Macaca mulatta: one gene and its partners. The protein of the gene in region 4 interacts with the protein of the main gene of each other region in a pairwise test. Links are inferred from orthologs where the notes say so. Each region holds a gene or a part of one and is shown on either strand. Other genes may lie near its edges.

Region 1 (2,592 bases), on a different chromosome or scaffold from region 4:
GTGAGCAGTTTTTATTTTAAGGATATAGTTTATATCTAATACACCAAGTTTCTTTCCCCCCACCACGCCACCCCCCGTTGACTGCTAGAAAACTTGCAACTAAAATTGGGATCCGTTTGTAGCAAGAATACAGATATCTCTGGGATAGATTTATATATTAACTACATTTTTCTGCTATTTTTTTTTTAGGAGCTTGAAATTGTAATTGGAGATGAGCACATATCATTTACCACATCAAAAATAGGTTCTCTTATTGACGTAAATCAGTCAAAGTAAGTATGTTAAAGCATTTTGGCCAAGTTGTCATTATTAGAGAGGCTCATTTTAGAACTATAGTATAGTCAGTTTGTTAGCCAAGATAATTTCAGTGGCCTCCTATCAGTTTATTATGCAGATGTAATTCTGATTTGTATGTCATTAAAGGCTTACTATCTTGTCTGTCAGTAGAAGTTAGCAGAGTATTTCATCGATTGTCCAAAAAATTTTAATCCAACAGCTGTATATAATAATGCCCAAATTGTATTAGCTATTTTGTATAAAAATGTGGATATAGTATCAGAAAATCCAAAGAAAAGAAGTCCTTATTGGATTATATCAGCCTCATTAGGTCCATGTCATCTCACTTTCCTCCTTGGGCTCAATACTTGGGAAAAAGATGGAAAAAATCCAGTCTAGCCTAAGTATCCTTTACTACCAATGTCTTCCCAAGATCGATCTCTCCTCCGCCCCAGGGTTTTGTAGTACATCCCATTTTCTTGGTCTGATCCAAGCCACTTATTTGTGCCCATTCCCCTCAAAGTGTCCCATAGTGCTCTTCCCTTTTTCTGTCACTCTAAATTGTAATAACCTATTTGTCTGCTTTAAGTAAGCTCCATGAGAACCTTGCTGTATCCACAAAGTTAGCATAGTGCCCTGCACATAATAGATGCTTTCAATATTTATGAGAGGAAAGGAGAAAGGAATGAATGCATAATGACTATTGGACACAAAAGTCTGTGTTCACAGAGACCAACTGGATGCTTGTAAACTATGAAATTTCTTTTCCTACATTTGGTGAGGATGTGGCATTGATACCCTACTGGGATTATAAATTGGTAGTGGTTTTTGGAAAGCAGTTTGGTAATATGCATCAAAAACCGTTTACATTTTTCATTCACCTTTGGCCTAGTAATTTCATTTCTGAGCATCTCTTCTATGGAACTACTCCTAAATATTGGAAAATCTTTATTATGCATGAAGATGCTCATTGAAGTATTATTAATAATAGGAAATTAACCCCGTTGTCTAACAGGGAGAGAATTATTAAATTAATTAAAAATTACTGGGGAATTTTTTTTTTAATGCTGTGGGGAAAGCAATGTAAAAAGGGGCACAGGGAATGATTTTAGTTATTATAAAATAGAGAAACATCAAAATGTTCACAGTTATTCTATGAAATGGTGGCATTACGGTATTATTTTTTCTGCTTTATTAGACATTTTTATGATGCGGTTATGACATTCATAAGGAGATGAATCTTTAAATACTAAAATGAATACTGATGAAGAAACTATTTTTTTCTTATAGAAAAGATATTCATTTTATGCTGTAGTTGTTGGCAAAATCCTTCCCTTCTCCTAAATATTGTTAACTTAATTGTTAAAAGATTTTAATTTTGTTTTGTTTTAGGAATTTAAAGAATTGTTTTATCCTAGGAAGAAAAAGTAACTTTTACCTTTTTAAATTTTAGGGATCCTGAAGGTCTTCGAGTATTTTACTATTTGGTACAAGACTTGAAATGTTTAGTTTTCAGTCTTATTGGATTACACTTCAAGATTAAACCAATTTAAATTGTATGTTTTCAAGCTGTTTGTATATTTAATTAAGGGATGGGAGGGGTTATTTGTCATTTACAATATTGGGGTTTTTATGAATGTGAAGCGAACAAAAAAAAATTTGTATCTAAACTGAAAATAAGAAAATACATTAGCCAGCTTAATGGTTATCTTTACTTGAGTCCACATGGGTTGGACATTCCCCACACATATTAAATTCTGTAAATAAAAGCCACCTTTTGTTAAAAATTTGCTCTAATAAAACATACCAAATCCTGGTTGCAGAGTAGTTTTTTGTTTTCTCTAGGAGGCTATGTCTTTAATTCACTTTAGAGATAATAAGAAATTGTTCTGGTAGGTATATCCTGTGACAGAAGATACTTTAGGTGGAAATATGTAGCCATATTCCCATCCATGAAAGGCAATTGTAGATCTTCCCTTATTTCCTTCATACATGATTGGTTTTAATTTTGGGGGGCTTACAGAAGGTCTGTTTTGTTTTGTTTTGTTTTGTTTTTTTTACAGTTATCACAAACCCCTCAGGAATTATTCACATTTAAATATTTTCAATTATAAGCAGTGATGTCCTAAAGTGTTACAAAAGTAAAGTCTACCCCATGTTAGGCATATCTTTGATTATGTCCTTGTTCCTTATTTCACAATGTATTTGGTGTGTAGGGGAGGTGAGGAACTAAATGAGTTTTCAGCTTTATAAATTGTTAAACATTTAGATAAACGTACATGTAAGTATGAATGGACAGAAATATTTTAACTCCTA
Region 2 (4,106 bases), on a different chromosome or scaffold from region 4:
GTTTATTTTTCATGATTATACTTACCATAACAGTCTAGCATCAGCAGTAAGCCCCGCAATTGAGATACCAATATGGTTGTCAACATGGAGAATTTTTTTCTGATGAGCTGCAAGCTCTGATTGTGCCCTCTAAATGGAGACATTATAAGATGTTAAAAAAAAAAATGTAAAAATAAGTTTACAACCTTACTGTCTATGGTGAAATTTACATTAATAGTTTTTTACAGAGGAAGACATATTTATTACTTTACTTACTTTCAATGCAACCAACACTGCATGAGTTTTTGATTTCAGACCAACTGTGGCTGAACCTTGTTTAACAGCTTCCATTGCATATTCAATTTGATGAATCCTGCCCTAAAGAAAAAAAAAAACAAAACCACATCTTAGAAGGCCTTTTATAACTTAAAAATTAGAGTTTTCAAATGTCAGGTGGGCATAGTTAAATCTCAACTGATTTTTTTTTTAAATCAAGAAACTTTTTTTTTGAGACAGGTTTTCACTCTGTCACCCAGGCTGGAGTGCAGTGGCACAATCTTCAGCTCAGTACAACCTCTGCCTCCTGGGCTCAGGCAATCCTCTCAAATCACCGTCCCCAGTAGCTGGGACTATAGGCAGGCACCACCACGCCCAGCTTATTTTTGTATTTCTTGTGGAGACCAGGTTTCATGTTGTTCAGGGTGGTCTTGAACTCCAAGACTCAAGCAATCTACCTTCCTCGGCCTCCCAAAGTGCTGGGATTACAGGCATAAGCCACTGCGCCTAGCCAAAAGCTTCTTTTAAAATAAATTTTGTTGTATATACTTAAGGTATGCAACATGATGTTGTAAGATACACATATATAGTAGGGTCACTATCGCAGAATGAACACATCCATTGTCTCACATACTTACCCATTTTCCTCTGCTGTGGCAAGAGCTATCAACTACTCACTTAGCAAAAATCCTGAATACAAAACACTACCTGCATTATTAGCTGTAGTCTTCATGTTGTACCTTAGATCCTTCCACTTGCTCAACCTACATATTTGATACTTTGTATCTCCTCTTTTTTCCTCCCCACTGCTATTCCCTACCCTGGTAACCACTGTTTTATTCTCTCTCTCTATATATTTGCTCTTTTAAACAAAACATTCCACATATAAGTGAGAGCATGAAATATTTTTCTTTCTGTTTCTGGCTTATTTCACTTAACATAATGTCCTCTAGGTCCATTAGGAGACCTATTTTAATTATAAATGCAACTTCCAAGAACGACTAAAATATTATATTCCATTTTCCCCAAGCCTATGCTCTCACAAGCTTCTAAATATATTGCAGCCACAAAAAGCCATTTCACAGAAATAGTTTAAAAAACATTATTTTACCTGCGGGCTCCAAACAGTGACATCATTGTCGTACTGATTTCGAAACTAAAAGTAAAAGAAAAAAAGACCTGTTAATAGAAGAACATTTCAAATCCCAACTCTAACATTCATTAAGAAATATGCTTGTGTTTCCATTCAATGTTAAGGCACTCTGTTCATGCAATCTTACTGGAAGATTACTACTGTACTCAGACGTAAGCCAATTCTACATTTACCATAAACTGGTGGGAGAGGGAGAAGCAGATCTAAATGGGTCCTATTTTTCCAACCTCTTATTCTAAAACCCTTCATAGCAATCCCTTTAGGCTCAATTACTAAAGTTCACAATCAACTTTCTTGCCTATTTTTGCTTATGCTGCTCCCTTTTATTGGGACCTAATAAATGGTTAAAAGCCTTTCTCTTCTTTAAGTTAGCTTAAATGTCGATTTCTGGAAGTCTTCTCCTTTTCTTCCCAAATCCCCCTAACACATACTCCCACAGTTCTTTATCTAAACGTCCCTTTCTGTTTTTATGATTAGCTTTTCTTCCCAAATCCCCCTAACACATACTCCCACAGTTCTTTATCTAAACGTCCCTTTCTGCTTTTATGATTAGGGACATGTATGACTTTTGAACGTTCACTGTAGTTATGCTTGTACAAATGCTCTGTCTGTATATTCATATTGAATGAACAAAAATGTCCTCAGAAAGTTAGAGGTGGACACAAACAGCTGCAGCGATAGAACCATTACGGCTATTATGACTATTATAATAAGTCTAGCAGTGCTGGGGAGACTAATCACGGGAGTGAGATTGAGTGCGAGCACAGCACTGGAAACCCAGAACCCTATGTTGTAACCCAGATTCCATCACTTCCCTTCTCAGCCTCGGCTTACTCATCTGTAAATAGGTGACTGGACAAAATTATTGAAAAGGGCCTCTTCTAACCGAAGTCTAGGGGAGAGATAAATCAGACGGACCCACCAGGAAAACGGACGCGGTCCAGGAACACAAACCTGGGGGTCAAGTCCGCACTGGTGGTACAGGTAGGCCTCCAAGTCTCTGTCTTCTCCTCTCCCATACACAGCACTAGGGGCTATTCTGGACCGCTCAGAATCTACTCCACTGAAGGAACCTGAGGGGCGAACTCATCTAGCTGACAGAGGAGGAAGTGTCGGAGGCTCCCCGGGAAGCGAAAGCGGTGGAAAGGCCGCACTGGCTACCGACAGCCCCTAACCCGGCCAGGCCGGAGATGCTGAATCACTGCCGGAGCCCGGCCGTCTGCCGAGGCTCCCATACCTCGTGGCCCCGGGCGGCGCTAAGGATGACAGGAGAGGTGGCTCGTCATCCCCGAGTCACCGGAGCTCTGCCCTAAACCTTCCAGAGGTCGGGATTCAACGTACCATGTTGGCGGCGCGGGCCTGGTTGCGGCCTCCAGCAAAACTGAGAATCAAGGAGGTGCTGCCGAAAGTATCGCTCAGCGATCTACAGAGAAGTCTGCGGGAGTCTGATGGCGGCGGCGCAGGGTAGCGCAGTCTATTCCAGAGATATCGATAGGCTTGCAACACTTCCCCTTCCTTAAAACTCTCCGACCGCTCGGCGGCGGGCGGAGCCTGGGAAGATCTAGTAACTGAGATTGGCGGGAAACCCAGGGCTGGGAGTGCCGGCGGCTGAGAGCTGCGGGGGACCCCCTGTCACGTAGCCCTTCTTGGTTCCTGTGTATTGCGGATTCCCTCCAGTTTCTCCCGGTGGCGGGCTGCATCTAAAGTCTTACGAGGCAACAGCCGTGACTCCGGGTGATACTAGCTCTCATTCACCGTCCACAGATTTTGGGGTGTTACGTGACTGAAAGAAACGAGGCTGCAGGAAAGCCCCAAGATAACGATCCGTTTCTGTGTGTCAGCCGTATTCTTCCTCGAGTATCTTGTTTGTGTACATGCTTTTATTTGTATTAAGGTTGGTGCAAAAGTAACCGCGGTTTTTGCCATTTGGCAAGATACCTTGGAATGCTCTTCCTTATTCCCTGGAGATGTTATCTTTCAAGGCTCTGTTGTCTTTAACCCCTCATTATTATTATGATTGGTTTCCTCCACCAGACTTTGAACTCCATGAGGGCGCTGTCTTTCTGTGTCCTCAAAACCAAGCATGATACCTGATTAGGCCACTGAGAAAAAATGGACACGTTCTTTCGACTTACCTATTTTGTCTTTTGAGAGCATCTTTCCGTAATGAAATAGTCTGACATCTTTGCAAACAGCTGCCAATCTAACATCCACCGGCTATTTACATTCTTTGTAAAAAAAGAGACTGGGTGCGGTAGCCTGTAATCCCAGCACTATCGGAGGCCGAGGGCGGAGGATCGCTTGAGCCCAGGAGTTCGAGATCACTATATTATTTTAATACAGTGGGACCTCGTCGCTACAATAATAATAATAATACTAAAATAAAAAAGGCTGGGCATGTTGGCATGCGCCTGTGGTCCCAGTTACTCGGGAAGCTGAAGTGGGAGGATCTCTTAAGCCCGGGAGATCGAGGTTGTAGTGAGCCGTGGTCGCGCCATTGCACTCCAGCCTGCCTGGGCGACAGAGATTCTGTTTCAAAAAAAAAAAAAAAAAAAAAAGGCCGGGCGCGGTGGCTCACGCCTGTAATCCCAACACTTTGGAGGGCAGAGGCGGGTGGATCACGAGGTCAGGAGATCGGACCATCCTGGCCAACACGGTTAAACCCCGTCTCTACCAAAAATACAAAAATTAGCCGGGC
Region 3 (4,105 bases), on a different chromosome or scaffold from region 4:
GAGGCTGTGAGATTGCAAATCTCGCAATTACTTCCATTGCTTTTGGGGGCTGTGAGAATTTCCGCCTCTCATCCTCCACAGTGAGGAGGGTAGTCGGGCAAGGTTTTCTCCCTGAAGTTTTCGTCAACTTTGAAAATAAGGACTGTGCTCCCTACATCACCAGCAATTGACAAGGATCCAAGAAATGCCTGCTAGGCACTTTCACACTCGGGTAAATGGGGGATGAGGGAGGCTAAGTAGGCAGTATTTAGCTAGCAACTATTATTTCCTTTATGTTTCTACCTTGTTAACTAAGCTTCCACTACGGTTCATAAATCTCCAATATCGTGAATTAAAGAAACAACAACAAAAACCCTCTTCTGTGTGCGTGTGCGTGAGGGGATAGAAGTTCACTGCCCTAAGATGCAGGACTTATCTTCCCAAACAGGAAGATACCCATTTCTGAGAAAGATGGTAAGTTTCCTAAGGGTCTCCTCTCAGATCGAGGGGATGGCAGTCCCCGAGGAGCGAGCGGGAGCGGGTCCTCAGGGTCCCCGTGCGCAGAGAAGGCAGGTGAGGCCCCCCCGCCCCACCGGGTCTCGGCTCCGGATCCCGGGTCGCGAAGGTCAGCCCAAGCGGGTCCCCGGCGCCAGGCGCCAAGCGGGTCACTTCTCCCCACCTGATTCGGGCCCTTCCCTTCTCCTCTGTCGGCCCGCTCCGCCGCCTCACTCTCTCCCCCGCCCCCCGAGTCTCGTTTCAGTCATCCCTTTGTCCTTCCCCGGATTGGCAGGTTTTATTATTCCGCCTGAACAATCCGGCCGCCCAGTGGCTGAGGGTCGCTGACGTCGGAGGCAGAGCCGGGGAGTAGTTGGGATTTTGCTCTGTCAGTAACACATGTGTAAGAGCCGCGGAGGGAGCGAGCGAGCCGGCTAGAGGCCAGCGCCGCCGCCGCCGCCGCCGCCGCCGCCTCCTCCGCCTCCGCCTCCGCGCCGGGCAGCAGCAGCCCCGGCAACAGTCCCGGCAGCGGCGTAGGCTCCAGCGCGTCGGGCCCGGCCGGCCGCAGCTCCCGACTCCTGGGCGCGCCTGCCTGCCGGCCTCCGCACCGTCCGCCGCCGCTCCCCGGGTTTCTGTGTCTGCGGCTGCTCCCGGGCGGAGGTGCAGGGAGCTCAGTCGAGCCGCCGCTGCCAGCCCGGAGCGAGCGAGCGAGCTAGCGAGCGCGCGGGAGGGAGGAAGGCGGCGGCGGAGGAGGAGGAGCGGGAGGAGCGCGAGGAGCGCGGGCGGGGGCGGGGGCCGCCGGGCGGGGGAATATACAAAGTGAAGCCACATTGCCAAACTTGCAGCAGCGATTGCAGCAGTTGCTGCCGCTGCACCGCGCCTGAAGCCGCGTCGCGCGGGCCGAGGGCTCCTGCAGCTGCTCGCGCGCAGCCGGAGGCGGAGGAGAAGGACGAAGACTGAGACTGACACTTCTGCTCCCGGCCGCCTGCCACTTACGCGGGGGCCCCCCAACCCGCCCCAGAGCAACGCGATTTAAAAAAAAAAAGCCGCCCTTAGCCCCCTCCTCCCCTTTCCTGCTTCTGCGAGAACTCCCTCCCTCCCTCCAGCTCCGCCAGCCCAGGCGCCCCTTCCCTGGAAGCCGAGCGGCTTCGTTCGCATTTCACCGCCGCCGCCTCTTGCAATATTGCAATATAGGGGAAAAGCAGGTAAGGGGGCGGCTGGGGGAGCCGCGGGCCGGGAGGTGGGAGAGAGAGGGAGGGGGCCGATTCGGGCCAGGGCTGTTTTCTTTGGCTTCCTTCCCCTTACCGTCCCAAATTGCAAGTAAACAATACGTCGCCTTAGATAAAGCGCGAGTCTGAAACTACCGAGGCCGGCCTGCGAGCTAGCGCGGAGGGCAGCCCCGGGCCGCCAGCTTTGTAGCGGTTCCTGCTTACAAAAGGGCTCTTCTTGGAAACGGGGCTGGTGGGGACCGTAGAGGGGGTGGGATATTTCTAGTTCATGAGGGAAAGGGCAAGGGGTGCTTAGATGAGGTTTTAAGTATGAGAAGTAGTGTGTTTGGGGGGGTGGGGGTGGGGATAGTCACGATAACCCCCCCCTTCTAGTAAACACTAATTTTGAAACAGTGGCAGGAAGGGTCTAAGTGAGCAGGATTCGGTATTGCTAGTTCTTTTTAAAACCTCTTGGTTTATAAGTCTTTTGTTACAATCCAGGAGAAATACGGTGAATCACCTAATTAAAATCAAGACATGAATTAAGCATCCATTTTTGTACTACAAATTGCCAGCGTTACGTTTGTCCCTCCCTTGGTCTCCATTAAAAAACACCAGAGACGTTATTAAAGGGGGGCAGATTTTGCCTCTAGCTGCCAGTTCTGCTTTCTATTTCACTGACTATCCCAGGACCTAAATTGCTTGGCTATGTAATTACTAGAGTATAAGCCTATTTAACTTAAAAGCTTTCTTCTTCTTTTTTTTTTTTTTTCCAACTCTAAATGAAACTTGATGAGGGCCCGTCCTTAGTTATCAGGGGAGTCAGTTTCTGGTCAGTCCTCTTGATTCATCTCTTTTAGATTTAATCAGCATTAAGGTATTGCTTGTCCTTAAGAGCTTTAGCTAATGGGGTTACTGGATGCTTTTCTCAGTGTAATGTTTCCTTTTCAAAAAAAAAAAAATACATATATATTTACCTCTCACTAAAGATGGGGGCGGGGAAGAGCTGGGAATCTCCTCCCTCTCTCCTTTTAAAAAGGAATTCGGAGCGATTAAAACGTTGGGGGAAACAGTTTAAAGACCTAGGGCAGGAAATGCAGATTCATTTGGGTTAGGGCTGAAATTGTAACAAAAAGCAATTCCTCGAGTAAATGCATCAGATAAATCAATTTACATAAAGGTATGATGCATTCGGATAAATGCAATGCTAATGGGTTTTAGAGTGGTCCTGTTTCCAAAGTCTCAGGGTTTTGTTACAGCTTAATTGGTGCAGTTCTTATTCTGGTTTATTGTGCGGTCACTGGACACACGTTCCGGGACTCTTTCGGAGGAAATGTGTTTAAAATCGGCCTATTTAAGGAACCCGAGTCCCTGTTTCGTTCGTTCCTTCCTCGTTTTTTTGCAGCAGCCAAGTTGGGCCGGGGACAGGCAAAGTTCGCCTTCTTCTGAGGTATCAGCTGAATGTCTTGAGCAGATAGCCGGGAGCCTCAGGGGGAGCCCACACTCTCAGCTTACAGAGGACAAAGACAAAACAGGCTGCTTAATTGGCAGTAAATAACTTGATCTTTTTATAGAATAAGTGACTAGAGGAACACTAGGACTTTATTGGACTCGGAATTGAAGGCAACAAATTAATCGGTTTAGGCTAAGCTTTATAAATTGATTCCTATATTATATCCCAGTTGCATCTCTTGTGGCATTCATTAGAGTGGGGAATTCTTTTTTAAAGCAGTTTTTGGTGACAGCAGAACGGGCTCGAATTTAACTTGTGCATCCCTTAATGCTGCCTTCTCGCACGTTATCTGTAACGCCGACCCCCCCCCCCTTTGGAGGAACAAAGCTTTAGCATTTAAATTGCTGATCAAGGGCAGATTAGTGAGACCAAAGTGGAGAGTGTTTGTATAGGAAGTTAACAGGCATCCTAAAGTTCAATGATCTATTATTCTTGCCTGTGTCCTGAAAACCCAGAGAAAACACTCATTGATCTTCAAAATGAAATGAGATTTGGAACAATAATGGGAGATGGCGGTCACCACAATGGCATGTGAAAGGTGCTGCTTAAAATACGAAAAACCAGTTTCGCAACTTTACACACTGCACCCCCTCTGCCGTCACCTTGCCTTCCCTCCCACCACCACGCTCTCCATCTTCCGTCTGCCGGTCCCTCCCTCCTTCCCTTTCGGAAAACCGAACTATTTCCAACTTGTGAACTCCTGCTGCACTTCCCAGGGCAGAGCCCGGGAGGGAACGAGGCTCCGGCGGGGCCGTCGCCTCACCACTCCCCTCGACTCTGTCCCGGGGCCCGGCGGGGGCTGGGGAGGGGCCGGGCACGGCGGTGGGTGGGTTTGACCCTCATTTGCTGCAGGCGGGCGGCGGAGGAGGGGGGCAGTGGGCGGAGGCGGGGGCTGGGAGGAGGCGCCGCG
Region 4 (4,267 bases):
AAAATACTAGATTCACATGCAAATATTCAGATATATGAATTGGACAGTTAAAATAATATTTTAAATATATATATGTATACTCACGATTCATCTAAATCTTCTACAAATCCTTTACAGACGACCATATCAAGTAAAACAACTGGAAAAAAAAAAAAAGACAAAACGTACACAATAAATGCTGATTATTTGGCTCATACTGTATAAGCTTAGTCATCTTTGAGGTGTTTTTGACCTTTTACAACCTACCAAAAAATTCATCACTGATACATCCCAGGGTGCAAATGATGCAAAAGCAAAAGTAGTTCATCCATTTAATAAATAGTCTGTATGCAACCACATGGTGACCGGCCAAGTTCTAGGTAAGCCAATAAAGCTAATATACACAGTTCCTTTTTCCTCATTTTCACTCTCATCTTACTTCTCCTTTTTACCATTCCATCTTTTTGGAATATAGACAGCATTCTTCTATACTTCTTTTGCTTTAATAGCAATTATCTCTTCAGTAAAAACTCCAAATGTCATTCAAAATATTTACCCCCAAATAGAAAGAAAGTCGAGCTGTAACTCTAATACTTATTACACGGCCGTGTCTGACACAGAGTGGATTCTAAAAGGTTAAGTGAGCGGACCCCAGTGAGAATGAGGGCACTCCGTGCTGACGGGAGGCAGCTGAGAACCGCTGACACACACTCAGGTCCTTTTCACACCGCACAATCCCGGCGGCCTGACCCTGATCTGTCCTCGACCACCCTCTCTGAGCACTGGTGGTAAAAACCCTTAAACATAACAAGACTCGGAACCTAAAGTCAAGACAAGATCTGGTCGTTAAGGTGGGACGGCGGCATCCTTCTTGCCCATCAAAGGAGTAAGCTTTACTGAAACTTCCTGCCACAATGAGAAAAACACAAACACAAGGCAGCGCGCCCTTCCCACGTCCAGCACTGGTCCCGCACAGCAGCGGCGGAAGGACCCTCAGGTGTCCGCTCCTTCACGGCCAGGCAGGGCGGTGGGGCGGGGACGGCAGGACGCTGCCGGGGACCGGGTGGGCATCTCCGCGGGCCCCGCAGGCCTCGCCCCAGACCCGAGCCCAATCCCGGCCCCACGGCGGGGCCAGGTTCCGACCGCTGCGCGCCCATTACCTGTGGCGCAGAGCCGCAGAGCGGCCCAACTCCTCCACGCTGCCATGCCAGCCAGGGAGAGCTGCAGAAGCTGACTCTGTGCAAAAGAGGGATAAAGACACTGGGGTTCGCTGCCTGCCCGCCCGGAAAGGGAAGCAGACCCCACCCGGAGCGGAAGAGAAGCACCGCGCTCAATACGGGGGCGGGACTAGCCGGCCTCGTTAACCTCCCAGCACCCGGCTGGTCTCTAATTCTGGCTATGAGGGGGAGTACGGCGCCTGCGCGAGGAGGGTAGCGCCTGCGCAGTCGTGTTCTTAAGAATGCTTTGCGCCCCCGGCGCCCCGCCCAGCCCAGGAGCGTGGGAACCCTGCTTAAGGGCTTTACTAGGGACAACGGTGGTTGTTCACTGGGGCGAGTTTCTGGGAAGGTGAGTACCGGTGAAAGTTACGCTGAGGGTGAGGTAGGCTCCGACGACGCAGTTGCAGGTTGAATATTGGCACATCATTTACTTGCTACTCCCATGCAGTAAATGCACCTGTGGGTTTTGATGCTGGATCAAATTCCTGGAAAGAGGCGCGCATTAAGACTGTGGATTGCTGAGCTGCGCGACACTCCGTATTTTTCCAAAACGTACTTGTAATATTCTTTCAACCTGTTTGCATAATGGGACATCTCTTAAATGCAGCAAGCTTTAATGCATTTTTGCCAAAGTAAGGATTGCCTCTTTAAAAACTTTCTCTTGAAACTTGAGAACATGAAGTTAAGCGTAGGATATTTTTTGATGACTCTTTTCTGATTATTTTGGGACTAAATAAATAGTATGAAATATTTATATTGCTACCTGTTTTTTCTTCTACACGACAATGATTTGTAAAAACCATATACTTTCATGAGACGGTTACTGCAGCAGTCACTACTTCCGAATTAGATGAAATTTTTATGGGACATAAGGTACCAGAGAATTTAGATCAAACCAAATTTTGAAAACCTATGACAGCAGAAGGGGGATATGATGTCAGCCGGTTCACCTTAGGTTCAAAATTCCAACAGGCCGAAATGTTATAAAACGTTGTTATTCCTAGTGACTGGAAGATTAAATTGCACTGTAATTGAGAGCAAGCCCTAAATGTCACCCCCTTTGTGCATACAGCATGCACAAACGCGAGCCCTCTGCAGATTCAATTTTTCTTTTTGTTTCTCTTTTCTTTTCTTTCTTTTTTTTTTTTTTTTGAAAAAAGTAGACTAAAACGTAAGAGGACAGTTGAAGTGATGGTAATGTTCTCGCGGTGGTGGAACAGCTTTATAATAGTACCATCGCCTCGATACTCTTATACAGAAGCTTTTCTACTTTCTTGGCAAGGTCTCTGAATGACCCATATTCAATTTTTTTTTCATTCTAATGTATTTCAAATTTTTCTGTCTTCCACATCATGCAAAATAAAATAATATCTTTTTATATTTGCGTTACAGTTTAAGTTCACATGTGGAGAACAACGAAAACAGGTTGACCTAGATTTGTGCTCTTCAGTAGTGTAGCCACTAACCATATGTCGCTATTGAGCTTTCGAAATGTGCCTAGTGTGATGAAGTAACTGAATATTTAATTTTAATCTCAGTAAACTCAAAAACTGGCACTTGATTCAGCTATTGGAAAGTTTTTTTAATATGGTTGGAACAACTGAGGTATGTGAATCTACTTTTTCAACTGTAAACTTTATGAAATCTAAATACTGATCAAGTCCCAGGCGTCGGTGGCTCATGCCTGTTATCCCAGCACTTTGGGAGGCTGAGGCAGGAGGATTGCTTGAGGTGAGGAGACTGAGACCAGCCTGGTCAACACAGGGAGACCCCATCTGTACAAAAAATTAAAAAATTAGCCGGATGTGGCCTGGCGCGGTGGCTCACGGCTGTAATCCCAGCACTTTGGGAGGCTGAGGCGGATGGATCACTAGGTCAAGAGATTATGACCATCCTGGCTAACACAGTGAAACCCCATCTCTACTAAGAATACAGAGAATTAGCCAGGCGTGGTGGCAGGCGCCTGTGGTCCCAGCTACTTGGGAGGCTGAGACAGAAGAACGCATGAACCCAGGAGACCGAGCTTGCAGTGAGCCGAGATTGCACCTCTGCACTCCAGCCTGGGCGGCAGAGGGAGATTGTTTCCAAAAAAAAATATCAGCTGGATGTGGTGGCACACACCTGTGGTCCCAGCTACTCCAGAGGCTGAGGTGGGAGGATAAGTTGGGCCAGGGAAGTTGAGGTTGCAGTGAGCTGGGATCCTGCCACTGCCTTCCAGCCTGGCAACAGAGCAAGACCATGTCTCTATAAAATAAATATCAATTAAATATTTCTGATGAAATTAGAGAGGTTGTAACGAGATATACTATAAATGTAAAATATACACTGGATCACTGGATTGGGAAGACAATATAAAACTGTAAAATGTCTCAATATTTTTGTACTGATAATATGTTATAATGATTATAGCTTAGATATGAGTTAATTAAATTATTAAAATTAATCTCACATGTTTTTATTTTTAAGTGTAGCTACTAGAAAATTTATAATTACATATGTGGTTTTGCATTATATTTCCGTTGCACATCACTGATCTAGGCAACGTGAAAATGATCAAAATAATGCATTAATCTGAAAATGATTTAATAAACCAATAAACTTTTTAGGCTTTTTGTTCAGAGAACATGCTAAATTTCCACATGCTAAAACATATTCTGCGGTGAAAATTTTAAGTGTTTTTTTCTGCTTATCTACCTCAAGTGGTGATTTTTTTTTTGAGATTTAAAAGATTCTACTATTTTGACAATATTTTTAAAAAGACTTTCAGATAAGCTACACTTGTACAGGTATATATATATATACCTTGTGTATTTTGCATACATATTGCTGTAGTCTAAATGTGTAACCCAAATTTCATATGTTGAAACTTAATTGCCAATATGATAACATTAAGAGGTGGGGCCATTTGGGCATGATTTAATCATGAGGTGGGACCCTCATGAATGTGATTAGAGACCTTATAAAAGAGATTGAAGGGATTGTCTTAGACCCCTTTTCCCCTTCAACTTTAAGCCATGTGAAAACACAACAAGAAGGTACCATCCTGGAAGCAGAGAGCAAACCCTTATCAG
Region 5 (3,396 bases), on a different chromosome or scaffold from region 4:
GCCGGGCCAGGCTCCTGGTAGGACTTCTGTGGCTTCTGGGATCATTAATGCTTCACCCCATCCTTCCAACTAACCCTTGGTAGTCTCTGACCCCTGCCTCCCACCAGGAGCTGACTGGCCAGCTGCCCCCTGAGTGCCCACTAGAGCCTGGTGAACGGCCCCAGTTGGTCCGCCGGCGGCCCCCCACAGCCCGTGCCTACCCTCCACCACACCCCAACCAAGCACACCACTCCTTGTGCCCTGCTGAGGTGAGCAGATGGGTGTGGAGAGCAAGAGGGTGGGGAGAGGGGACAGGTACAGAGGAGTAGCCAGGAGGAAGGTGTGGGGAGGGGGCTTGTGGCCAGGTGAGGGAGCTTGTGGCCAGGTGAGGGAAAGGCTAAGCTGAGAAGGAAAAGGGCTTCTGGAGGTAGGTTCCTGCAATGAGGGAGGATGCTGGTCCCTAACTGTCAGGACAGGCCTCCCACCCTCAGGAAGATGAATCGACCCAGCCCTTCACCCTGACCCGCCCCCTCCCCCAGGTGAATAAGCTCCACCTGTAGGTGAATGGGCCTGAATAGGCTGCAGGAAGTACAGGCCAGCCTCTAGTGGGTTTGGCTCCGCCAGGTCCCTGTTCCTGGCCATTTCCAACATTTGGGTGGGCCTGACAGGAGCTGGCTCTTGAGGCCCTGGAGCGTGAGGTGTCAGTGCAGCAGCAGATCGCGGCAGCTGCCCGTCGCCTGGCCCTGGCCCCTGATCTGAGCACCGAGCAGCGCCGGCGCCGTCGCCAGGTCCAGGCAGACGCACTGAGGAGGCTGCACGAGCTAGAGGAGCAGCTCGGGGATGTCCGGGCCCGCCTTGGCCTCCCAGTGCTCCCGCTGCCCCAGCCACTGCCACTGTCCACGGGGTCAGTGATCACCGCCCAGGGAGTCTGCCTGGGCATGCGCCTCACTCAGCTCAGCCAAGGTGAGCATCCCCTGGTGAGGGTGGGAGAGTGGACACTGGCAAATGAACGTGGTAGGGCTGGGATGGCTGAGTGGCCAGTGAAAACCGGGAGGTAGGCACAACTCAAGTGGCCCAACCCGTGAGAAGAGTTGTGACAAACTGGCTTACCGGAAAGGACAAACTGTGGGAGACTGATGAATATCTGCCCGGACAGTCAGGAGCCAAGCTGGGGTGGTCTTGGGCTCTGGTAAAAGCAGATTCTTGGGAAGGGAACAGGATGAGGTGGAAACTGGCCAGAAGGTGGCCCAAGTAGAGGTGCCCACCCAGTGGTGTAAGGGGGCGGCACCCAGGCCTGGGAGTGAGAGGCCCACTTCTCCCCCTCTCACCTATAGAGGACGTAGTTCTGCACTCAGAGAGCAGCTCCCTCTCAGAGTCTGGGGCCAGCCATGACAACGGTGAGGACTCCTGTCCCCCAAACCTGCCCCCGACTCCTATGTCCCCTCAGCCCATCCCCTTTATTCATCCGACCACATCCTGCATGATCAGCCCATCCTTTGATGCCCAGCCCCTCCTGTGCTGCTTCAGCTTCTCCTTAGCCATGCTCCATCTTCCTGTAGGTCCCCCATCTTCTTAGCCTCACCCCACCCCAACCCCCAGCCCCACAGCCCCAGAACCTACTCGTCAGCCTTAGCTCCTCCTCAGTCTGCTTAACCTGTCCCAGCACTTTGCCCCTCCCCATGGCCTTGCCCACGAGCCTGTCCTGCCCCCTCTGGGCCCCCCTCATTGAATTCTATCCCACTTGCTCTCTTCCACTCAGAGGAGCCCCATGGCTGTTTCTCTCTGGCCGAGCGCCCCTCACCACCCAAGGCTTGGGACCAGCTGCGGGCAGTATCCGGGGGGAGCCCTGAGCGGCGAACCCCATGGAAACCACCCCCATCAGATCTTTACGGGGATCTGAAGAGCCGACGGAACTCTGTGGCCAGCCCCACCAGGTGAGAATGAGCCCCTCCTCCCCTCCGCAGGAGCTGGGAATGGGATAGTAAGCCTGGGCTGGCAGAGGGTCTGCTGGTGGGTACAGTCTCTAACCTAGGCCTGCCTGTCACTGTCTAGCCCCACACGCTCGCTGCCCAGGAGTGCCTCCAGTTTTGAGGGGCGAAGTGTGCCTGCCACCCCAGTCCTCACGCGGGGCGCTGGCCCCCAGCTCTGCAAGTAAGGGGAATCTGAGGGTGGCCTGGAGGATCAGAGGGGAGGGAACCATTAGTTCTCACTGGAAGCTTGAGGACGGCATTATCAAAAGGTGTGGGATCGCTGGGCGCGGTGGCTCATGCTTGTAATCCCAGCACTTTGGGAGGCCGAGGTGGGCGGGTTACTTGAGGTCAGGGGTTCAAGACCAGCCTGACCAACATGGTGAAACCCCATCTCTACTAAAAATACAAAAATTAGCTGGGTATGGTGGGGCATACCTGTAATCTCAGCTACTTGGGAGGCTGAGGCAGGAGAATCGCTTGAACCTGGGAGGCAGAGGTTGCAGTGAGCTGAGATCAAGATTGTGCCCTTGCACTCCAGCCTGGGCGACAAGAGCAAAACTCCATCTCAAAACAAAAAAACAAAAGATGTGGGACATGGGAGGCTGGGAGTTAAAAGTGAGCAGGCATCTCGGTGGATAATGGGGTAGAGATTTGGGGCAGAAGCATCAAAGTTTTGAGTATGGGCTTTTCTGTGCATTTTGGACAAGCCATTCTCCTTTTCTGAATCAGTCTCCTCATTTGTGAAATGGAAATGATAGTATCTGCCTTTGAAAAACATGGACATAATAAGTTCTGGTTAACATATACTGAGTGCCTGCCACCTGCTAGGAATTAGTGGCACCAACTCATTCAATCATAATGAGATCCCTGTGAGGTGGGTGCTATTGTTATTCCCATTTTATAGATGAGGCAAATGAGGCACAGAAAGGTTAAGTAACTTGTTAGTAAACTGAAGTCCTGGAGTTTGAGCCCAGGCAAGTTTTACTCTAGAGTCCATGCTTTTAACCATTGTCCTCTTCTGCTTCTGCTTCTTAAACAGAGTGCCTACTTTCCCCAGGCTCTGAACAAAACCAAGTCCCCGGCTTGCATTCTGTGAATGGTGGCTGTTGGGATGGTAGCTTTGGGTGGTTCATACATATGGTTGGATAGAGAATTCAGGCAGGGTTTTACGTGTGGGCCCTAAGGCCTAGGACTCAATCCTGGAGGCCGTGGGAGCCGTGAGAAGGGCCTTAGCATGGGGAGGGGTCAGCTGGATTAGGAAGAGCCCCCTGCCCGGCACCTACTCTGCTAGCCTTTCCTCTGAGTCCCTACACAGATTTACACCTCTCTTGGAGCTAACAGTGCCAGGCCTCCCCCACGCATTTCTACCCCCGACCCCCTAGCCTAGGACAGAACCTAAGCCGCCCTTTACATGTCACTACCTGCCACCTTTATACACACAGCTTCC
Region 6 (4,175 bases), on a different chromosome or scaffold from region 4:
GGAGTGAACTGCTGAATTGCATGGTGATTCCACATTTATTTAACCCTTTGAGGAAATGCCAGTCTGTTTTCCAAAGCAGCTGACTGCATCTGCCTCCTAGACATTTGAACAATTCAATGAATGTGTATTGAACACCCACCACGGTCACTGCTGTGAACCAAACAGGCAGGCCACAGAGAGGAAACCGACTTACGGAGAAAAAAAAAAAAAAAATCAGAGGCGAGGTCCTGGCTGAGCAGGTGACATTTGAGCGGACTTGAGGAAGAGGAAGGGGGCTGGGCGCGGTGGCTCACACCTGTAATCCCAGCACTTTGGGAGGCCGAGGCAGGTGGATCACGAGGTCAGGAGTTTAAGACCAGCCTGGCCAAGATGGTGAAACCCTGTCTCTACTAAAAATACAAAAATTAGCCAGGCGTAGTGGCAGGCGTGTGTAATCCCAGCTACTCGGGAGGTTGAGGCAGAGAATTGCTTGAACCCGGGAGGCAGAGGTTGCAGTGTGCCGAGATCGAGCCACTGCACTCCAGCCTGGGCGACGGAGCAAGACTCCGTCTCAAAAAAAAAAAAAAAAAAAGAGGAAGTGAGCAGCCCCCAACTTGGGTCTGATCCCCCAGAGCGGAGCATCCTGACCCAACTTCACCAGGTCCTTGCAACCTCCCTTTACCACCATCTTTCCCCAAATACTTCCAGCCCAGCTCCCAACCCCACCCCCTGACTGACCCACACCCCGTTCTCAGCTTCGCAGCATCCCAGCCTCTATGCCCTGGACATCGTGCGATGTCCCCATTGCACAGGAGGGAAAGCCCAGATCCCACTGGGAAAGCCGCCCCTGTGGCCAGAAGCCCTCGGATCCGGATGTCGGGGGTTCTGAATAAATAAATAGGAAACGTCTCCGATGGGTTTTGCAGGATGTTAAGAACAGGTCCCACCTTGTCCTAGGGCTGGGGGCTGCCTCACAGGAACTTAACCCTAGCACCTCCGTCCCCATGGCAACCGGGGCGTGGCCCGACCCGGATCCGCGGGTCGCGCCATCCGGCAGCTGCTGGGAGTATCGCCCTCAGAGCGGGAGGAGGAGTCGGCGCCTCACCTACTGGCCCTTTAAGAGGCTCCGCCCGGCAAGTCCGCCACGCGCTCCCGATTGGTCCCGAGCGCGGCCGAGCGCAGCCGAACTTGACGCACCGCCCGCCGCCTTCCTTACTAACCTCCCACGCGGCTCAGCAGCCTCCCCAGCCAATCGCCGGCCGGCGCGCCGATCGGTATCTGCATGGGCACGCCCCGGGGGAAGGCCTCACCCAATGGGACCGTTCGCCGAGGCCTCATTAGCATGCCGGGGGCGGGGAGGGGCGGGGCAGTCGGCGGGGGTGGGCTGCGGGCGGTTGGTTGGAGCGTCGCGCAGTCGGGAGGTCCGGGAAAGTTTCTTTGGAGGTGAAAACAGCCGCGGAACTCCGGGCCTTGCGAGGGGGCGGGGGTGCGGGGGTCCCAGGGCCGGGTCGGGGTCTTTCCTGGGCCGGGGGGAACCGGCCCAGGCCTCCCGGGGGGCAATCGCCCAACAAAGGATTCTTGGGGCGCCCGCCCTCGAGGACTTCCCCGCCCCCGGATCCGGCCCCCCCAGCGCTCCGGGCCCGGCATCCCGGGGCTCTCCATCACGGGATACCCCAGTTCGCGGTCCGCCATCAATCAGCCCAGGCGCTACTCAACTCCGCCCGCGTCCGTGTTCCAGGTCCGGCCCGGAGCAGCCATGTCCCACGGCCCCAAGCAGCCCGGCACGGCCGCCGCGTGAGTGCTCCGATTCCCTCCCCACGCCCTCGCTACCTTCCCGGCTGCAGCCCTAGCTCCTGAACCCCCGCTCCAGTCACCCCGGCCGGGGTCTCGACCGCCCCCAACCTGGGTCAGGGGGCTTCTCCCTCCATCCAATCCTGCATACCCCACCTCGGCCTCCAGCCCCTCCCAGGAGCCCCGCTTGTCCCACCTTCCGCGGATACTGACCCCATCAGACCCTGCTTCCTCGGGCTCATGCACTCTCGCAGCAGCCCCATCGTCGGGCGTCTAAAAGCCTTGGGGTAGGCGTTTGGGGGAGGGGAGGCTCTAGGGACGGGGCTGACCTCTGTATCCTTGGCTCCAGGCCGGCGGGCGGCAAGGCTCCGGGCCAGCATGGGGGCTTCGTGGTGGCTGTCAAGCAAGAGCGCGGCGAGGGTCCACGCGCCGGCGAGAAGGGGTCCCACGAGGAGGAGGTGAGAGTCCCTGCGCTGAGCTGGGGGAGGCCCCGGGCTGCGGCCCCAGCCTTGAAGTCCCGCCCCAGGCTGGATTTGAATTGCTTGTGGCTCCGCCCACAGCCCAGATTTTCCTCCGGAAGCTGAGACCCCGCCCCGTGCGAGCTGCCACGCCCCTGACAGGTCCTCTGCCTCCCTAAGTCCAGGCCCCGCCCACCACACAATGCCAGCTCTGCCCACTCTAAGGTCCCGCCCACTTCCACTCCTTGGGGGCGGCACCCTCCCCATGGTCCTGTGGGCCCTTTCTCCAAGAAGCCACGCCCACCAAGCAGAGGCCACGCCTACAATCTAAGTAAACACCACCCCTGTGCTCAAACCTCGGCCCATAGTCTCTGGGATCCCCTCATCCCTGGCCAGGGACCCCTCTAAACCACCGTGTCCTGACTCCTGACTGGGCCCTACCTCCATCTCTTCCGGGTTCTTCCTCCCAACTAGGCCCCGCCCCGTCCCCGCCCATACAGCATTAGGCCCCGCCCATGCCCCTCTGAGCCCCGCCCCAGTACGCCAGGCCCCCCTCCCAACGACGCAGCCCGGTTCTGCAGCCGGTGAAGAAACGCGGCTGGCCCAAGGGCAAGAAGCGGAAGAAGATTCTGCCGAATGGGCCCAAGGCACCGGTCACAGGCTACGTGCGCTTCCTGAACGAGCGGCGCGAGCAGATCCGCACGCGCCACCCGGATCTGCCCTTTCCCGAGATCACCAAGATGTTGGGCGCCGAGTGGAGCAAGCTGCAGCCAACGGAGAAGCAGGTGAGCGGGGCGCTGAGCAGGGCCGGCGGACCCCCGTACTACCAGTAGCCCCGACCCCCAAAGGATTCCACGTGCAGGGCTTTTCCTTATGCCTGGTGAAATGCCCACCCATGACCAGTTTTTGTGTGTGTGTGTGTGTGTGTGTGTGTGTGAGATGGAGTCTTGCTCTGTTGCCCAGGCTGGAGTGCAGTGTCGCGATCTCGGCTCACTGCAACCTCCACCTCCCGGGTTCAAGCAGTTCTCCTGTCTCAGCCTCCCAAGTAGCTGGGATTACAGGCGCCAGCCACCACGCCCTGCTAACTTTTGTATTTTTAGTAGAAATGGAGTTTCGCCATGTTGGCCAGGCTGGTCTTGAACTCTTGACCTCAAATGATCTGCCCACCTCAGTCTCCCAAAGTACTGATATTACAGGCATTAGCCACCATGGCCAGCCCATGACCAGCTTTTGGGGGCGCGGCTAGCAAGAGGCAAGACAGATCGAAAACTGGGTGACCAACAAAGATATGTCTAAGAAGTCAGGATAAGGCCTGGATTTTTTGTGAAATCTGATTTTCATATACTGTTAGTTTAAAAATTGCAAAAACATCACGGAAATGTAACAAAAGCCACCGCCGCTTTGCACCCCTGTAAGTGAAATTTCAAAGAGAAAAACGGGTGCAGGAGGGAGTCTAGATATCCACATACCCTGGAGGTTGGGTGCCTGCCCATGACTCTGGCGCCCAGGAGTGTCTTGTCAGGGCGGGAGTTGGGGATGAGCCTGGGGCATGGGAAGTGATGTGGGAGCTCAGAGGTCCTTGAGCAACAGGCTGAGGAGCCGGTTCTGTCTGTCTGGAGGGAATAGGGAACTATGGAAGGTTCAGGAGAGGGGAGGGTGCTGTGAAAGCTGAGTGATGAAGACTGGGTCCTGGCGTTAGAGGCTTCCCCTGCCTCAGGTCTTTTGGTGCTGTCCCCCAGCGGTACCTGGATGAGGCCGAGAGAGAGAAGCAGCAGTACATGAAGGAGCTGCGGGCCTACCAGCAGTCGGAAGCCTATAAGATGTGCACGGAGAAGATCCAGGAGAAGAAGATCAAGAAAGGTGGGAGGGGTCAGGCGCGGTGGCTCACGCCTGTAATCCCAGCACTTTGGGAGGCCGAGGTGGGTGGATCATCTGAGGTCAGGAGTT
Region 7 (4,003 bases), on a different chromosome or scaffold from region 4:
TACTATTCATTCACCATAGATAAATTCTATTTTTTTTCTTTTTTTGAGACGGAGTCTTGCTCTGTCGACCAGGCTGGAGTGCAATGGCACTATCTTGGCTTACTGCAACCTCCGCCTCCCGGGTTCAAGCGATTCTCCTGCCTCAGCCTCCCGAGTGTCTGGGACTACAGGCGCGCGCCTCCACGCCCAGCTAATTTTTGTATTTTTAGTAGAGACGGAGTTTCACCATTTTGGCCAGGCTGGTCTCGAACTCCTGACCTCGTGATCCACCCGCCTCGGCCTTACCAAGTGCTGGGATTACAGGCCTGAGCCACGGCGCCCGGCCCTAAATACTATTTTAACAATATGGTGTCTTTTCTTCCAGACTGCCAGTAAATGAACAAACACATGATTAACACAAAAACGATACCATATGGACTCTTTAAACTTTTTTTTTCAAATTTACTATATCAGGGAATTAATATATCTTTTCGAGCCAATAGATATAGGTCTTCCAATTTAAAAGATTAAGTTACAATAGAGTGAGATTTGGTGTGCTATCCCTTTCGGAAAGCGTCCTCGATGCGGTCATATTGGAATTAACCTCCACTCCCCTCCTCTTCTCTGGGCTCCCGCGGACTCCAGGCTGAGTGCTGAAGTGTGGATTTTCACACCCAAACCTCTGTTATTTCAGTGTCTCACCTGGCTTCTCCACAGCGCAGAAGCTCAGCCCCAAGTTGGAAGAGCCTCCCCGGGAGATTCACAGCGAAGCGCTATTCAGGGCCCAACTCCAAGCCCAAACCTAGCTCCACCCTAAGCCGCCGCCAAAGACCCCTCTTCTCCCAAACCTCACCGGGGCCCCGCCCCTGACTCCGCCCACGAGAGCCCAAGCCTCCAGTCCTGCCCCACCCCGGGCTCCACCCACCAGCCGGGCTCCGCCTACCCGGAAGCACGCAGTCCTCCTCGTCCCGGGCTCCGCCCACCGGGAGTTCTCGCCGCTCACCCCACCCCGGACCCGCCCACTTCGCTTGGGCTCCACCTTCCCAGGAACTGGCGCCGCTTGCCCGAGCTCTGCCCATTTCGTCCCCGGCTTCCCGCGCTGAGAACTCGTGCTGCGAGCCCCGCCCACCGCGCTCCTGGCCCCACCGCCCGGAAACTGTCCCGGCCGCCCCGGGCTCCTCCCACCCCGCCCTGAGAGCCCGCGCGTGCCGCTACACGCCCGCCCTTTCCTACGTGTGGTCCAGTCGGTCTTCCTCCGGCGTCGGCGCTGGCTGAGCTAGCTGGCCATGGAGGGTAATGGCCCCACTGCCGTCCACTACCAGCCGGCCAGTCCCCCGCGGGACGCCTGTGTCTACAGCAGCTGCTACTGGTGAGGGGGCGCGGGCGCAGCCTCTGGGTCTCCCTGGCTCCCGGGCCGCGAGTTGCAACCAGGCCCCGCCTCTTCCCGGCCCCTGCTCGGGGGCGCTCCCGGCCTCTACCGGCGGGTTCTACAGTTCTGCGGGAGTAGGGAGCGGGAATGGCAGCTCTTGTCTCTTGAGTAGAGCGTGGGCTGTTGGATGGGGTTGGGAATTCGTCCGGAATCCTAGGGTCGATAGTGCATTACCTGTGCCTGGCGCTTGTCGGTTGGATTTGCTCAGCAGATCTCTGCTTCGGGGCTAGGGAGGGTGGAGCTCTGAAAACCTTTGGAAGTTACTCTGCTGAAGCATGTGGGGTTTCAGACTGAGGCGAAGGTCATTTTAATTTTGGAAGAGAATGGAAGCACAGAGAGTTTGGGATAACTTCCCAAGGTCACCCAGCTAATAGCAGCCAGGAATCCAGTTCGGGCTCTCTGGCACCAGAAACCATGATCTTAACCATGTTGTCATTATAATAATGGTTACATTCACACAGCCCTTGCTATATGCCACGCGTTGTTCTGGGTGGTTTAGGTAAACTAAATCACTGAGTATCACAATAACCCTAAGAGGTAGGTATTGTTATCCCCAGTTTAAAGATGAGAGCACTGAAGCACAGAGGGCTGCAAGTAATTTGCGCAGGGCCACATCACTTGTGAATGAAGGAGTGGGGATTTACAGGCAGAGTCTGGCCCCGGAGTCCATGCTCTGCACCCCTGTCCTAGGCCACCTCTGCAGCTGAAGCACCGCCCCTGCCTTGGTCCTTTTTCATTCCCATGCCTACTCTTTCCTGAGTAATGGTTTCTTCCCCAGCTTCTTCTAGTCCTTGCACAGGAACCCTCAGTGCTATCTAAAACTACCCTTCCCCCTTCTGCTTGTCACTAAATCAATGCCACCGAGCATTTGTTCGGCCCTGATTGCATGTCAGGCTCAGTGGCAGGTGCTTCCATCGATGTCCATGAGTAGCTTCTTTTACTATCGTTATCCTCATTTTACTAATAAAAAGAGTGAGCCACAGAGAGGCTGTTGTGTGCCCCCAGATCACACATCTAGCAAGTGGTGGTGCTGAAACTGGAACATCTTCGTGATTTTGAAGTTCATGCATCTTAACTGCTGCACTCTTTTTCTGTCCTGCCTCTTCTAAATCCCGTTAGTTCTCCTCCCTAATGTCCATTGTTTTATTCATTCATTCAATAAATGTGTATTAGGCACTTGGAGTATGTGGCCCACTTCTGGGCACTGGAGATACAGCAGTGAACAAGATGGACAAATTCACTCATGGATCCCTTGGTTCTTGTATTTTGATGAGAGAAAAGCAGATAAGGTCCGGTGCGATGGCTCACGCCTGTAATTCCAGCACTTTGGGAGGCTGAGGTGGGCGGATCACTTGAGGCCAGGAGTTTGAGACCAGGCTGGCCAACATGCAGAAAGGCTGCCTCTACTAAAAATACAAAAATTAGCCAGGTGTGGTGGCACACGCCTGTAATCCCAGCTACTCGGGAAGCTGAGGCAGGAGAATCGCTTGAACCCGGGAGGAGGAGATTCCTGTGAGCCGATGCCACTGCACTCCAGCCTGGGAAACAGAGCGAGATTCCATCTCAAAAAAAAAAGGCAGACAAAAACAAGTAAACCATGTTTGGGTGGTGTTAAGTGCTGTGAGAAAAATAAGATAAAGGATGGTGGCTTATTTTCTATTAGGATATTTTGAGAAGACATTGTTGATAAGGTGATATTTGAACAGAGATCTGAAAAAAGAGGGTGAGAGCTTTGCATCTATTGGAGGATGGTCATTTAAGCAGGGAGAACAGCAGGTACAAAGGCTCTGAGAAGGAATTGTGCTGTATGATAGAAACAGTGAGGAGACTGGTACAATTGGAGTATCAGAGTTAGAGCAGTCTTGTAGAAGAATGGTAAGAGTTGACCACTCTACCGCAGGATTTCTCCGCCTAGGTTCGAGTGACATTTTGAGCATGATAATTCTTTGCTATGGGGGCTGTCCTGTGTATTGCAGGACATGTAGCAGCATCCCTGGCCTCTACCCACTAGATGCTGTTAGCACCCTAGCTCTAGTTGTGACAACCAAAAATGTCTCCAGACATTGCTAAGTGTCCTGTAGGGCTTGGGGGGCAAAATCGCCTTTTGCTGAGAAACAGTGCTCTACCCTGTCTGAACATGTCAGGTGGGGGCACTGCACTACTTTGGCTCCTGCAGCTTTGTGGGGTTTTTTTATTTTTGAGACGGAGTCTCAGTCTATCACCCAGGCTGGAGTGCAGTGGTGCCATCTCGGCTCACTGCAACCTCTGCCTCCCAGGCTCAAGCCATTCTCCTGCCTCAGCCTCCCGAGTAGCTGGGACTACAGGCACCCACCACCATGCCCGGCTCATTTTTGTATTTTTAGTAGAGATGAGGTTTCACCACAGTGGCCGGGCTGGTCTCAAACTCCTGACCTGAGGTGATCCACCCGCCTCGGCCTCCCAAAGTTCTGGGATTACAGGCATGAGTCACCATGCCTGGCCATCCTGCAGGTTTTTAAACTTGAAATGAGTGCCTCCTGTCTACTTCTGTTAGCTTCTGTCATGTTAGCTTCCAAATGTTACTTATGCTTCAAGACCCTGCTTAATGATAATAGT

The links.
Region 1: the proteins of CCDC102B (region 4) and MAGOHB interact in binary tests that used the Homo sapiens proteins (3 or more experiments, as listed by UniProt). The two-hybrid records come from large-scale screens. The link is inferred for Macaca mulatta from reciprocal best matches to the Homo sapiens genes CCDC102B and MAGOHB.
Region 2: the proteins of CCDC102B (region 4) and PSMA1 interact in binary tests that used the Homo sapiens proteins (3 or more experiments, as listed by UniProt). The two-hybrid records come from large-scale screens. The link is inferred for Macaca mulatta from reciprocal best matches to the Homo sapiens genes CCDC102B and PSMA1.
Region 3: the proteins of CCDC102B (region 4) and LMO4 interact in binary tests that used the Homo sapiens proteins (3 or more experiments, as listed by UniProt). The two-hybrid records come from large-scale screens. The link is inferred for Macaca mulatta from reciprocal best matches to the Homo sapiens genes CCDC102B and LMO4.
Region 5: the proteins of CCDC102B (region 4) and CCDC120 interact in binary tests that used the Homo sapiens proteins (3 or more experiments, as listed by UniProt). The link is inferred for Macaca mulatta from reciprocal best matches to the Homo sapiens genes CCDC102B and CCDC120.
Region 6: the proteins of CCDC102B (region 4) and HMG20B interact in binary tests that used the Homo sapiens proteins (3 or more experiments, as listed by UniProt). The two-hybrid records come from large-scale screens. The link is inferred for Macaca mulatta from reciprocal best matches to the Homo sapiens genes CCDC102B and HMG20B.
Region 7: the proteins of CCDC102B (region 4) and NTAQ1 interact in binary tests that used the Homo sapiens proteins (3 or more experiments, as listed by UniProt). The two-hybrid records come from large-scale screens. The link is inferred for Macaca mulatta from reciprocal best matches to the Homo sapiens genes CCDC102B and NTAQ1.

Annotation. Positions count from the first base shown.
Region 1 is NC_133416.1:10,000,989-10,003,580, forward strand, and holds the end of MAGOHB (protein mago nashi homolog 2), read left to right. Parts: intron 1-189; coding exon 190-272; intron 273-1,729; coding exon 1,730-1,829; 3' UTR 1,830-2,092; downstream 2,093-2,592. UniProt on the Homo sapiens protein: Required for pre-mRNA splicing as component of the spliceosome. Plays a redundant role with MAGOH in the exon junction complex and in the nonsense-mediated decay (NMD) pathway.
Region 2 is NC_133419.1:50,928,385-50,932,490, reverse strand, and holds the start of PSMA1 (proteasome subunit alpha type-1), read right to left. Parts: upstream 2,801-4,106; 5' UTR 2,753-2,800; coding exon 2,750-2,752; exon of another isoform or gene 2,363-2,749; intron 1,412-2,362; coding exon 1,367-1,411; intron 358-1,366; coding exon 256-357; intron 130-255; coding exon 26-129; intron 1-25. UniProt on the Homo sapiens protein: Component of the 20S core proteasome complex involved in the proteolytic degradation of most intracellular proteins. This complex plays numerous essential roles within the cell by associating with different regulatory particles.
Region 3 is NC_133406.1:153,320,423-153,324,527, reverse strand, and holds the start of LMO4 (LIM domain transcription factor LMO4), read left to right. Parts: upstream 1-1,305; 5' UTR 1,306-1,679; exon of another isoform or gene 1,680-4,105. Other genes in the region: uncharacterized protein LOC144332728, read right to left, coding at 736-1,305. UniProt on the Homo sapiens protein: Transcription cofactor. Plays a role in establishing motor neuron identity, in concert with MNX1, acting, at least in part, to disrupt LDB1-LHX3 complexes thereby negatively modulating interneuron genes in motor neurons.
Region 4 is NC_133423.1:11,949,062-11,953,328, reverse strand, and holds the start of CCDC102B (coiled-coil domain-containing protein 102B), read left to right. Parts: upstream 1-1,467; 5' UTR 1,468-1,545; intron 1,546-4,267. UniProt on the Homo sapiens protein: During interphase, forms fibers at the proximal ends of centrioles to maintain centrosome cohesion. During mitosis, dissociates from the centrosome following phosphorylation to allow centrosome separation. Contributes to CROCC/rootletin filament formation.
Region 5 is NC_133426.1:49,143,686-49,147,081, forward strand, and holds part of CCDC120 (coiled-coil domain-containing protein 120), read left to right. Parts: intron 1-107; coding exon 108-248; intron 249-647; coding exon 648-942; intron 943-1,313; coding exon 1,314-1,376; intron 1,377-1,738; coding exon 1,739-1,913; intron 1,914-2,031; coding exon 2,032-2,130; intron 2,131-3,396. UniProt on the Homo sapiens protein: Centriolar protein required for centriole subdistal appendage assembly and microtubule anchoring in interphase cells. Together with CCDC68, cooperate with subdistal appendage components ODF2, NIN and CEP170 for hierarchical subdistal appendage assembly.
Region 6 is NC_133424.1:4,383,176-4,387,350, forward strand, and holds the start of HMG20B (SWI/SNF-related matrix-associated actin-dependent regulator of chromatin subfamily E member 1-related), read left to right. Parts: upstream 1-1,375; 5' UTR 1,376-1,465; intron 1,466-1,717; 5' UTR 1,718-1,735; coding exon 1,736-1,773; intron 1,774-2,119; coding exon 2,120-2,228; intron 2,229-2,809; coding exon 2,810-3,013; intron 3,014-3,967; coding exon 3,968-4,088; intron 4,089-4,175. UniProt on the Homo sapiens protein: Required for correct progression through G2 phase of the cell cycle and entry into mitosis. Required for RCOR1/CoREST mediated repression of neuronal specific gene promoters.
Region 7 is NC_133413.1:133,837,370-133,841,372, forward strand, and holds the start of NTAQ1 (protein N-terminal glutamine amidohydrolase), read left to right. Parts: upstream 1-1,203; 5' UTR 1,204-1,265; coding exon 1,266-1,348; intron 1,349-4,003. UniProt on the Homo sapiens protein: Mediates the side-chain deamidation of N-terminal glutamine residues to glutamate, an important step in N-end rule pathway of protein degradation.